Linked DNA regions of Mytilus edulis. The protein of the gene in region 3 interacts with the protein of the main gene of each other region in a pairwise test. Links are inferred from orthologs where the notes say so. Each region holds a gene or a part of one and is shown on either strand. Other genes may lie near its edges.

What was found.
Region 1: the proteins of GRIP and coiled-coil domain-containing protein 1-like (region 3) and ras-related protein Rab-39B-like interact in a two-hybrid assay, tested with the Drosophila melanogaster proteins (2 studies listed by BioGRID). The link is inferred for Mytilus edulis from reciprocal best matches to the Drosophila melanogaster genes GCC88 and Rab39.
Region 2: the proteins of GRIP and coiled-coil domain-containing protein 1-like (region 3) and ras-related protein Rab-6A interact in a two-hybrid assay, tested with the Drosophila melanogaster proteins (2 studies listed by BioGRID). The link is inferred for Mytilus edulis from reciprocal best matches to the Drosophila melanogaster genes GCC88 and Rab6.

Annotation. Positions count from the first base shown.
Region 1 is NC_092353.1:38,939,519-38,943,362, reverse strand, and holds the start of ras-related protein Rab-39B-like, read left to right. Parts: upstream 1-879; 5' UTR 880-985; coding exon 986-1,203; intron 1,204-2,554; coding exon 2,555-2,984; 3' UTR 2,985-3,844.
Region 2 is NC_092346.1:48,057,820-48,061,663, forward strand, and holds the start of ras-related protein Rab-6A, read right to left. Parts: upstream 2,774-3,844; 5' UTR 2,704-2,773; coding exon 2,607-2,703; intron 1-2,606. UniProt on the Drosophila melanogaster protein: Protein transport. Regulator of membrane traffic from the Golgi apparatus towards the endoplasmic reticulum (ER). Mediates membrane trafficking during egg chamber growth and organization, possibly upstream of exocyst component Sec5.
Region 3 is NC_092346.1:43,249,294-43,252,893, reverse strand, and holds the start of GRIP and coiled-coil domain-containing protein 1-like, read right to left. Parts: upstream 2,719-3,600; 5' UTR 2,617-2,718; intron 1-2,616. Other genes in the region: ESF1 homolog, read left to right, coding at 2,752-2,773.

The DNA.
Region 1 (3,844 bases), on a different chromosome or scaffold from region 3:
CATTTAATTACTGAAACATCTCTAATTTAAAATTCTTATTGACCTAAATACATACTAAGGAAATAGAAACTCCAATAGCTGTTCAAGACAAAAATTAAACTATACTATAGCATATAGCAACTTGATCATAAAATTATGGAAATAACCTTAATACCATCCAACAATCATTCTCCCTCACTGTCATATAATGGCAGAAGTTCATTAATATTTTAAAATGTAATCCTAAATTAAGAAATTATAAAAATGGTTAGAAAAAAAGAATAGACCATTGATAGAAATCAAATGTCAACAAAAAAAAAACATTTTTAAGAAAATTTTGTTAGCCAATGATATTGAAAAATAATCTTATATTAGTGTTAAACACTACTTTATCAATTTATTCAGGTGTCAGAGTGGTCTGAAAACAGACATAAGAAAAATCTACATCTGTTGTGTATTTTTTTTTCTAAAAAGTACAATTTCAATACTTCTTAAATTTTATTATATATAAAATAAAGTAACGTGTTAAGAAATTCAAAATTGCAGTTCTGAAACTATCAGGTTTTGTTCAATTAAACTCTCTCTCTAATTTTATCATTACTTTAATTATTAATCTGATTTTATAAATAAATTAATCTTTCATTTTTATATTTTTATATATTTTACCTCAGACTAGTCACTACTAAATACAGTGATAGCAGTCTAAGAGTTTACATATTTACTAAAATTTCACTTGTTAACTGGTGATATAACAATAAAATCTATAATACAGTTCGAATTTTAAATAATTAGCTACTTTTAGTTTGACCCCAGTTGGAGCCTCAATTCCCTTCAATAAAAAGTAAGTTTTGATTGGTGTAATTTCCTCGAAGTAAACCAATCAAACATGATTTAACATCTGTCATTTAAAGAGAAACCGGAAGCTGATCAAAAAATGTAAACAAACCTTATCTTAATATAGAATGTTAACTTGATTCTGTTAAAGATAAGTAAATCGTAAGAAAATATGGTAGAGCCAATATTTGATTTTCAGTTCAGAGTTATTCTGATCGGTGACAGTACCGTTGGTAAATCGTCATTGTTGAAATACTTCACAGATGGAAAATTTTCAGACGCATGTGATCCAACTGTTGGGGTTGATTTTTATGCACGTCTGATTGAAGTAAATCCTGGTGTCAGGGTAAAACTACAGCTTTGGGACACAGCTGGACAGGAAAGATTTAGGTAATTTATCAATTAAGAGTAAGGAAAAAGGTAGTAGATTAGTGTTGCATAATGCGTAAATTAATGCAATAATTTATTCATCATGGCTGCACTGTGATGAAGTGCACATGGTCCATATGGATACTGCCATTGTTTTGATGTTGAATAACTGAATAATTATTTATTGGTTTATTTTTCTAAGAAAGAGAAAAGTAATCTTTCTAAATAATATATAAATTAACATATTTTTATAAATGTATTTTTTATAGAGTTGGCGCATAAATATATTGGGTTAGAATTAAAATACTGGCCATAATACATTAATTGACCCAAACACACTGCAGAAAGCATGTCGACAAAATGCTCTACAGAGCTAATGTCAGTAGTATTTCATGTAACCCGACTTAAAATAAATTTTCTTATATCTTATCTTAATTTAACTTAATACTAACTTGATATTTAACAATGATTAATTGTCAATGTACATGTCTATTCTCATAGATACACATGCTGTTGACAATTTTTACAGCCAATACAGGAGTAGTGGGCCCTCAGGACGTTGCTCTGTCAATCATCTTAATTGTTTTACTTTTGTAACACAATATAACAGCTTCTGAAATCTAAACACAACTTCTCAGATCATTAGGATTGTGTTATAATGTGACAGTGTAATGACCATACTGATAGTATTATTACTGTCATTTGGATTTTATAATTTTGTAAAGTCTGACTTATTGTGACAAATTTTAAATCTAGTAGTGCAATGACACCTTGTGAATGTAAATCCTTTGAACATGTTGAATACAATTACTCATTTAATGTTGAAAATAGGAAAAAAGGAAAGCAAAAATAAAATGTCGAAAATATACCTCAGTAAAATTTGACAAAGTAAGTTGCATTTGGCTTTAGTTCCACAACTTCAAACAACAGTGTCAGTGAAACTGCTCATGTTTTGTTTTTTTTTTGTCACAGAAAAGAACTGTTATATGTACATGTATATCATGTATATAGATACATTACTTGACAAAATACTTTGACTTAAATATAAATGATGAAAAATACATAAGAAACAAAACTTGACCTTGGTTTCAATTTGAATTTTTTAAATTGAAATAAAAAAATGTAAGATCCCCCTAAAAATCATTCATAAATTTTAAAGGGAATAAATTAAAGAATCCTTGCAATTGGTTCTAGTGTTGGCTATGACATTGTTTCCTAGTTAAACTAGTTTTCATTGGGGAATGTTAAATGTATTTAAAGGTCTTTAAAGAACATATATTTTTTTACCAATATGAAAAGAGGAAACAGTGTCAAATAAAAAACGTATATTATTATATACGATGTATGATGACATAATTTTGTTTACTTGCAGGTCCATTACAAGATCTTACTATAGGAATTCAGTGGGGATTTTAATTGTATTTGACATAACTAAAAGAAAAAGCTTTGAGAATATTACACAATGGTTAAAAGAGTCAAAAGATCAGACTGAACCACATAAAGGTGTATACTTAATTGTGGGTCACAAATCTGATAGAGATGAAGAACGACAAGTCACAACTAGAGAAGGTAAAATGTTTGCGGAAAGTAATGGACTGAAATATATCGAAACGTCTGCTAGAAATGGACAGAATGTGGAGGAAGCATTTCTTTTATTAGCCCGGGAAATACATAAATTGATACAAGATGACAAACTACATGTGGAAGACGGTTGGGATGGTGTAAAACATGGATTTTCTAGACCACCGAAAGAACCATTCCATGTTGTAGAGGGCGAACCAGAAGGGAGTGGATGCTGTTGATACAAATAATAAATAGGTGTAGAAAAGAAAACTTGATTTCTTTTAACCAATTGTTAAAAATAATGTAAAACTACAGCAATGTGATTGATAATTTCCTGCAGTCATTAAAGTCATAATGTGTAGTTTAAGTTCAATGTTGCTGTACATGCTGTATATGTACATATATCAACTCATATAAATTATTAAAATGAAAAAAAACAAGTTTAAGTGAACATGGTGAAACAATTAAATAAATCTTTTTAAATTAGCATTACATTTCATTTTTACTGAATTTTATTATTTAAGAAAAAAGAACAACATTTTCATCAGAAATTTTCAGGATTTTTGTCAACAAAAACATTATTTTTACATTTTTAGTCAAAAAAGTTAAAGACCATGAAAAAACTTTGAAAAAATGCACTTTAATGTACCTTGTCTGTGCTTTTATTAAATTTTAATTTCACACTTTACTTGCAGATAAAAGAAAAAATGTACTTTTTAGTCATCATGTTAATGTTGTTAATATTTTTTTTTAGAATATGTTATAAATCACTATCTTGTTAAGAAATATTCATTGTTTACATTTGTAAACTGCTTTTATCTAGATATCAAATATTGATTTAAATGTTCTGATTGTTGTTATATAAATCTTTTAATTAACCACTTGACCATAAATATAAATCATGTATCACATTAATCAGTATATTTTGCTGAATTTTATTATTTAAGTGCTGTTTTGTCTCAATATTTATCTATTCTTGAGAATTACATGTACTACACTATTTTACATATATTTTGGATACCAGTGTATTTATTTGCAGATTTATTAAACCTGTAAAATTCTATATCATTTTGATTTAATTGCGCTTGATATAGTTTAT
Region 2 (3,844 bases), about 4.8 Mb from region 3:
CGAAAATCAATACATTTTCTGAAAATTCAACATGACCTTGCCATGCATTAGATACATGTATAACAGAAGTCATCCATACCAATTTTAAACAAATTAAGTCTTCTCACAGATTTTTTAGAAAATTTAGTGTTCACCTCAAGAATGGGTTTGGCCACCACATAACAATTTCAAGTTTATTTACAATTTACACAGTGTGTATGTGTTAAGTATGTGTTAAGTATGTTTAAATGAACATATGTTTTCCTAGTTTAGGACTTTATTCATTATATATGTACATGTAGGTTGAACAATACAGGCATTGTTTAGATGTTTATTAAGTGTCCTATATTTTGACTTTAGTGGAACCTTAAGCTTAACCACAAGTTCTACAGCATTGGCTTGTAATAATGCTTTCAGGCTTGTAAAATTCTTCTCTACAAGCCAACTACACATGTACAATTTTCAAAAAATTGAGCTTTGGGCTTGAGAACTCAAAAGTTTAAAGTGAAGGTTGACCCAATAAGAATTACATATATAAGCACAAATAACAAGAACAGGACAGACACCCAGTATTTCTACATTTGTAAGTCTCCCATATCAAGCATCACACACGAGACATAAACCATTTAGACTAAGAGATCAGATATTTTGGTATTCCCCAGGAAACACATGTAGAAAGTTAAGGCCTAAAATATACCTCCATTTCCACAATATACTGACAAATTAGGGTAGGAAGCAATAGCATGAACAGTGCTCCAGCTAGAATTCAAAAGGTGCAGGGTGCCAGTGGAGGGCAGGGCACTTTTTTATGATAGAAGGCACTGCTTGTTTCTAATGTTTATGTCCCTGCGTGTATCACGAGTTCACATATTTTTTTACTGTATATATTGTCAATAAAGATGCATAAGTAGGTGTTATTATTTATTCTATAAAATTTGCATAAGAAAAGTCATTCATACTACATGTTCATATACATTTGTAACATGGCAATACACATTCATACTATTAACCAAAAGAGGAAAAATAAACTAACTATTCTCCCCACCCCCTCTCCTTCCAAAAAGAAAGAACATAAACTAAACATCTCATAGTTTACCATAGTTTACCATACATGTACATGACAGAGTAGTTGTATTTCAAAATTTTCATTGCTTGGCCCTCAAAACTTTTTTTATTGTTTGTGTTTAGGAATATAATATTTCGTGTAGCTTCATCATGTTGATTTGTGATGAGAGTTTAACTACACACTTCCATTTTTGTAAGTTGATAGCTTGACACCATTCAAACAATTAATTCATGCATATTTCTTAATTGAGAATGTATAAAACATGGATTGCCAAAAGTACAGTACATGTATGATTATCAAAAATAAATTGCAATATATTTTTTTTTGTATGTTCAAAGACAGTTAGTATCCTTAAGGTAACATTCTTATATAATTTTGTATTCAATTGGTTATTTTTTCCTATTTTTAGTGCTAGATAATATTTTAGGAGCACAATTTTGTAATAAGCTTTTTCAGGGGAAGTAACTCCAAAATTAATTTCCAACATGTTTACGTCTGCTCGTCGCTCACAAGTTGAGATGGACGATGTTTCTGTGAAGGCAAAGTTGATAACTTCAATTCAATTCTAAATTCATGAAAGTCTTCATTCATACACTCTTCGATTGTGACTTGGAGATCAAAAAGAAAATGCAGACACATTCATCATATTTATGACAAAAAGGTACATTAATTTGTCTTAATTAAATTACCTAGTAATTAACACCTTTGAAGTCTTATCCACAATAATTGATTGTAATGACATGATTAACCTCGTTACCTGGGGGCAATCACCAGGTGTCATATATGTAATTTAACTGCTGATAAGAAATCGATGAAACAAAAGGCAATTTTACCAAAACGGCACAAGGGTTTTTCAGAAAACGGCGTCAGGGCAGAAGGGCGCGGCTGAGGGCACACAGGGCGCGGCGCCCTTCTATTTTGGGCTAACGAGACCACTGATGAAGTAAGGAAATAATTTATGGCAAGTCTTAACAGAGGGAGAAATCAGACTACATGTAGAATACAATTGTTTAAACTGGCTGCATTTGTTTGCACCTGTCCTACATTTTGAAGTTGTCAGGAATCTGATGTTCAGTAGTTGTCAGTAGTTGTCGTTTGTTCATGTGGTTCTTAAGTTTTTCTTGTTTTTTTGTATAGATTAGACCATTGTTTTTCCCATTTTAATGGTTATAAACTAGTTATTTTTTGGGCTCATTGTACATGTACATGTAGCTTGCTGTTTGGTGAGCGCCAAGGCTCCATGTTGAAGGCTGTACTTTACCCTTAAATGGTTTACTTTTATAAAATGTGACTTGGAAGTCAAGTTGTCTCATTTGCACTCATACCACATCTTCTTATATCTAAACAATGTTGTACCTGCTTTAGAATGACAATAATAGTCTTTAACTTTAAGGTATGCACAAAAATGCAAAGATCTATCAAACCCCTCTGTTGACATAAGCATAGAAGGACACAAAAGGGGGTGTTTAAAATAGAAGTCTTGCTGCAAAAAATAAGTTTAAGGCAAGATAGCGAAAAGTATTTTCTATTGAGTATTGGGCCATAGCTCATTTAAACTTACCTGCAGCTTCACCAAGAAAAGCCAACTTAAACTTCAATAACGAGCTCCTGACATAATTATTGTTAGAGATATCCATTGCTTTCTGAGCAAAACTCATTTTAATACAATAATAAGGATGTTCAAATGGATTAAAAGGTCTAAGAACTTTTATCTTGTGTTATATCCTGTTTGTAATTGTTAATTTATGTGTCATTAAATGTGGTCTATAGTCCTAAAATATATGCTATATCATAAGCTCCATGCTGGCAGGTGATTGCCTATGATGAAATTTTATTTCTAGCACTTATAGTAATATTAGTTGCAATTTGTTCATCTAATTATCTTGAATTTATGTCGTGTGTCTGCATTAGTCAATACATTCCAAACAAAACTAGTGCATGCAATTTGCTTTTCCAAATACAATTTCAGTGAACGGTTAGGTCGCCAATTGTATGGAAATTAATATTAAATGAAAAATAATTTATTATTACAAGTGATGACTCAATGTGTGCATGACATGATTGGTTCACAACGAAGTCAAATAGGTAAACACGACCACTTCCGTTACCTCGTCATCGGAACTTACCACTTTGTTCACCTAGAAAAACTAATTTAAACTTCCTCAGCGGGTTCCCGAATTCCCCAGAGGAACTCATTGTGATATCTGATTCCTATGTAGAAATATAAAAGTTAATTTGTAGGTGTGAGTCGAGACTGTACGTTATTATTTAGCTGTCTTCTTTCAACTCGCCACGTTCCGAGTCTTCATAAATTACAGACATGCGTGTTCACACCGGAAATGTCAAATATTTCGTTCTGAAGGAAAGTGTTGCTTTTATTTTTAAACGACAACATATTCGGTCTTCTTCAACATTCCCTTTGTTGATTATTTTTTCTGTTAGTTCATCAATGTAAAATAACGAAAAATAGTCTGGATGCGTAAGTTTCAACATGAAAGTAATTTTTTGGTCTAGTTTCAAAAATAATTTTTTGAAATCAATATATCGAAAAGTTCCGACATAAGCCGGCGGCACCAGTCTGAGGTACATCAACTAGTTTACTAATTTGAGCAAACAGTTCTATCTATTTATTTGAATTATTTGTTCAACTGGGTGCACTTAAAAAAACATAATGGACATACATGTACATATGTTGTGTTTACGTCATTATTTCGTAAGAAACTATTTGGTTTGTTCTCAGTCTTAATTTATAAAATTCAAGCGGAACATATGAGACACAAAGAAACTCATAAGAAACTC
Region 3 (3,600 bases):
CTCCCCTTGTTTTATCATGTTTTCAATTACACTCATTAAAATAATGTAGCTTGGTAGATATTCTTTATAAAATACAAAGCAAACGAAGTATTATATAAGAATGGTCTTTCAATGATTTAAACTTTCTATGATAGATAGAAAATAATATAAATTAAAAAATTATTTCAGATATCTATCATGTCCATCATGTCTATAGTTTCAAATGTTAAATAACATTAATGATACCATTCTTCATGCACCATGATTGATATCTCTTAGGTTTTCAATTTATATTGTTTGAACATATTTAGCATTATTATGTTGAATAAAGTAAAAACTACTATAACTTTGATGGGATTTTTTCGTTTTTCAAATGGTAAAACCTGTATAGCTTATGGGGGCCTGCGCCCCCCAGTCCCCCTGCCTCAGTACGTATACTATAACAGGGCATGCTACGCCACTTATTCTCATTGGTTTGACATCATTCAAGAGTTTCTCAAGTTTAACCCTGGCTCGGTGAGGGTTGGAACCAGGGTACAAGGGGTTAACTTGAGTGGATTGAGTAAAATGGTTTTGTTGAAACCCGAGTTAATAAAGTAACTCGAGAGTTTCAGGTGAACTTGGCCTATAATAATCAGTACCGATTAAAAGTTAATTATTTATTTATTCTTTTGTAATTGTTTTTAAGATTTGAAATAATTTTTAAAACAAAACGTATCAAAATGTTTTATTTAAACATAAACCACGGGTAACATGGGTAACGTCGCACAAAGCAATCCCGACGTTCAGAGGGGAATATGAAGTTTTGTTCGACGTCACATGTGATAGTTTTAACCAATCAAATGTTGATTCCGCTATCAAAATCAACATGCAGTGGAATAAGGTATCCGGTCGTTCCGGCCCCAAGTCAATCCGGTCCAAAGTCGATCCGGCCCAAGTTGATCCGGCCCACGTCGATCCGTCCCCAAGTCGATCCGGCCCATAATAAAATATGAATTAACTAGATTATGGAGGAATTTGTCACATACTTTAACAGTATAAATGGAATTTGAAAAAAGTGTCCGATCGATGATGGATGACAACAGGTCAGTGAAGTATTGGAGTACCAGTTAACGAACTATTTTAAATCCATACGAAAATTAGTGTTATTGTGTCTGTTTGTATCGCAGTTTCTACATTTTTAAATTATGAAGTTATTTACCATGATAACTTTTACTTTGAATTTCATGGCAATTTTTATTTTATTCAGTTCACACACAGAATAGCTAAATGAATATTTACAGTCCAATGGACCTATAAAATTTATCGCATAATAATGACTTATTTAATCAAATCATTAGTCTATAATTGGTTTGTTTATTCAACAGTTGTCTGATGATTGTGAACTAAGGTAATGCCACTCGTAATCACTTAATTCAATCCAATGCTGATTAATTAAAGTTACGTAATCTGTTTTTCAACAAGGTCTTTATAGTTTGATCTTCTGGTTGGTGTAATTATTTGTATTTTTTTCCAGGTTACATCATAGGCTTCTATAACATATAAAAATATTCTATTCTATAACACTTTTTTTTGTAACATCGGATATAGTCAATATATTTTTCTTATTTTGACAATATTTTGAATAGTGTGTAGATAAAAAAAAAAAGTCATATGAGTATCCATTATTCTTTATTGCAAGAAAACAACAAAACAATGACATTGAAAGCACGTTTTCACTCTCTAAAATATAATATCAGCACTCTTTTATAGAAAGGATACGGCAAATCAAACAACATTTCTCAATTTTAGAAATTTTAAGAACTTAAAAAGAAAAACAAAGTTTATATATCAGCTTGGGGATCGGCTTATACCGTTCATGTATGTAACTATTTGTTATTATATGTTACACAAGATGAAAGACTTGTTAGGATCACAGTCAATTGAAAGAAAATGCTAATTACTGCTGATTAATGTTGATGTCTGAATTCACTGTTTTAATTAATATAATTATACTCAATAATCTTGAAAACTTGTAATAAAGACATAATCAACCTAGTTGTTTTATACTCATCTAAAGAAAATATTTTTCAAAGGCCTTTTTTACTATTATTACCGTACACCTTTAAGAGGGGGGATAGGACCTTTATCGGGACTCCGGGATCGGGTGTTTTTAAGCTCGGGATTTCGGGATTTACCCCTTCAGGATCCGGGAATTCTTTTTTTCAAATTTCGGGATCCGGGATTTAACTTTATTTATATTCGGGACCTCGGGATTTCGTGTTTTTAAGCCCGGGATTTCGGGATCAAGACCCCTCCTATCCCCCCTCCTTTAACATTATAATAAAAATAATAAACATTTATGAATTACAATTAATATATATTTATTTTTATTCCTTAGAAATAATTTTTTTTTATTGGGGCCGGATCGACGTGGGACGGATCGACTTGGGCCGGATCGACGTGGGGCCGGATCGACCCGAAAGCTGGAATAATACGTTACATTGCATCGGTGCATAGAAAAAATAAAGTTTCCTTTTTTGTTGTTGTTAGGTTCATTGAAAACAGTTTTTTTTTTTTTATGACATAACAATGAGTAGTGTACATTATTCTCAATGTGAGTGTTTTACAGCCATGCTGTATCAATATTTGGTTTACCGTAGCTTTTTCTGGTGACAGATTTTAATTTTAAAGTTTTAGATGAAAACTCCTAAAACTGTCCGAACGTTACCGGAAGTGTGTTGGCATTATTTTATTTCAGCTTAAAAGATTTTTTTGACAGTAACATTTGATATGAAACCTAGTTCTTGCGAAAGTGAGCAATGATATTCAAAACAATACTATTCCAAAGGATGTAAATATTCAATAAACAGCTGTTTCTTACAAAAGCGGAAGTAAACAAATAAATTCCGAACATTACTTCCGGTTTAAATTACACACAACACGTGAAAGAAGAAACTGTAAAATTTATTGTATGTCTCCTTGTACTTTGTATATATACAGTGTTTATTAATGATCTAGCAATAGAAAAAACTGAGGCTTTAGACAAACATAATACCCACCGCACTTCTGAGTAAACACTTGCATTCATAACTTATCAGATCTCACTATCAAGACACACTAACCATGCTAACGTTCACTCTTTCGAAATACCATCTTGCAAAACCAGCAACAGAAAAGGGTCAATCTATCCACACACGATCAGAGATTGGAACACCTTACCTGACTCGGTGTCCGCTGCAAAAAGTCTTGACTCATTCAAGAGACTACTGCATGCACATAAAGGTTCATGTGGACCCTATGGGCCATAGCCATAGTATGGCTAAAATGGCCGTATTTTTACCTCAAAATTTACTCTGAGTACAGATAAACCTGCACATCTGTAACAAATTTCAGGCATAACATGCCCTAGATAAATGAATTTTAAGTATGCTTTATGTTTTGGAAAAATAAAAACTTGCCAGGATCTTGCCGTGCACTTTTTTTCATTCCTCCAGAAGGTGCCAAAATAAACTAAGTTGGGAAACAGGTTTGAGAACTTCCCCACAGGTAAAAATTAAAGTGAGCATTTTTAATTGACATGGACATTAGATGGACAATAGATACCTGACAATAATTGGTTTTTAAACTGTGTACCTGAGT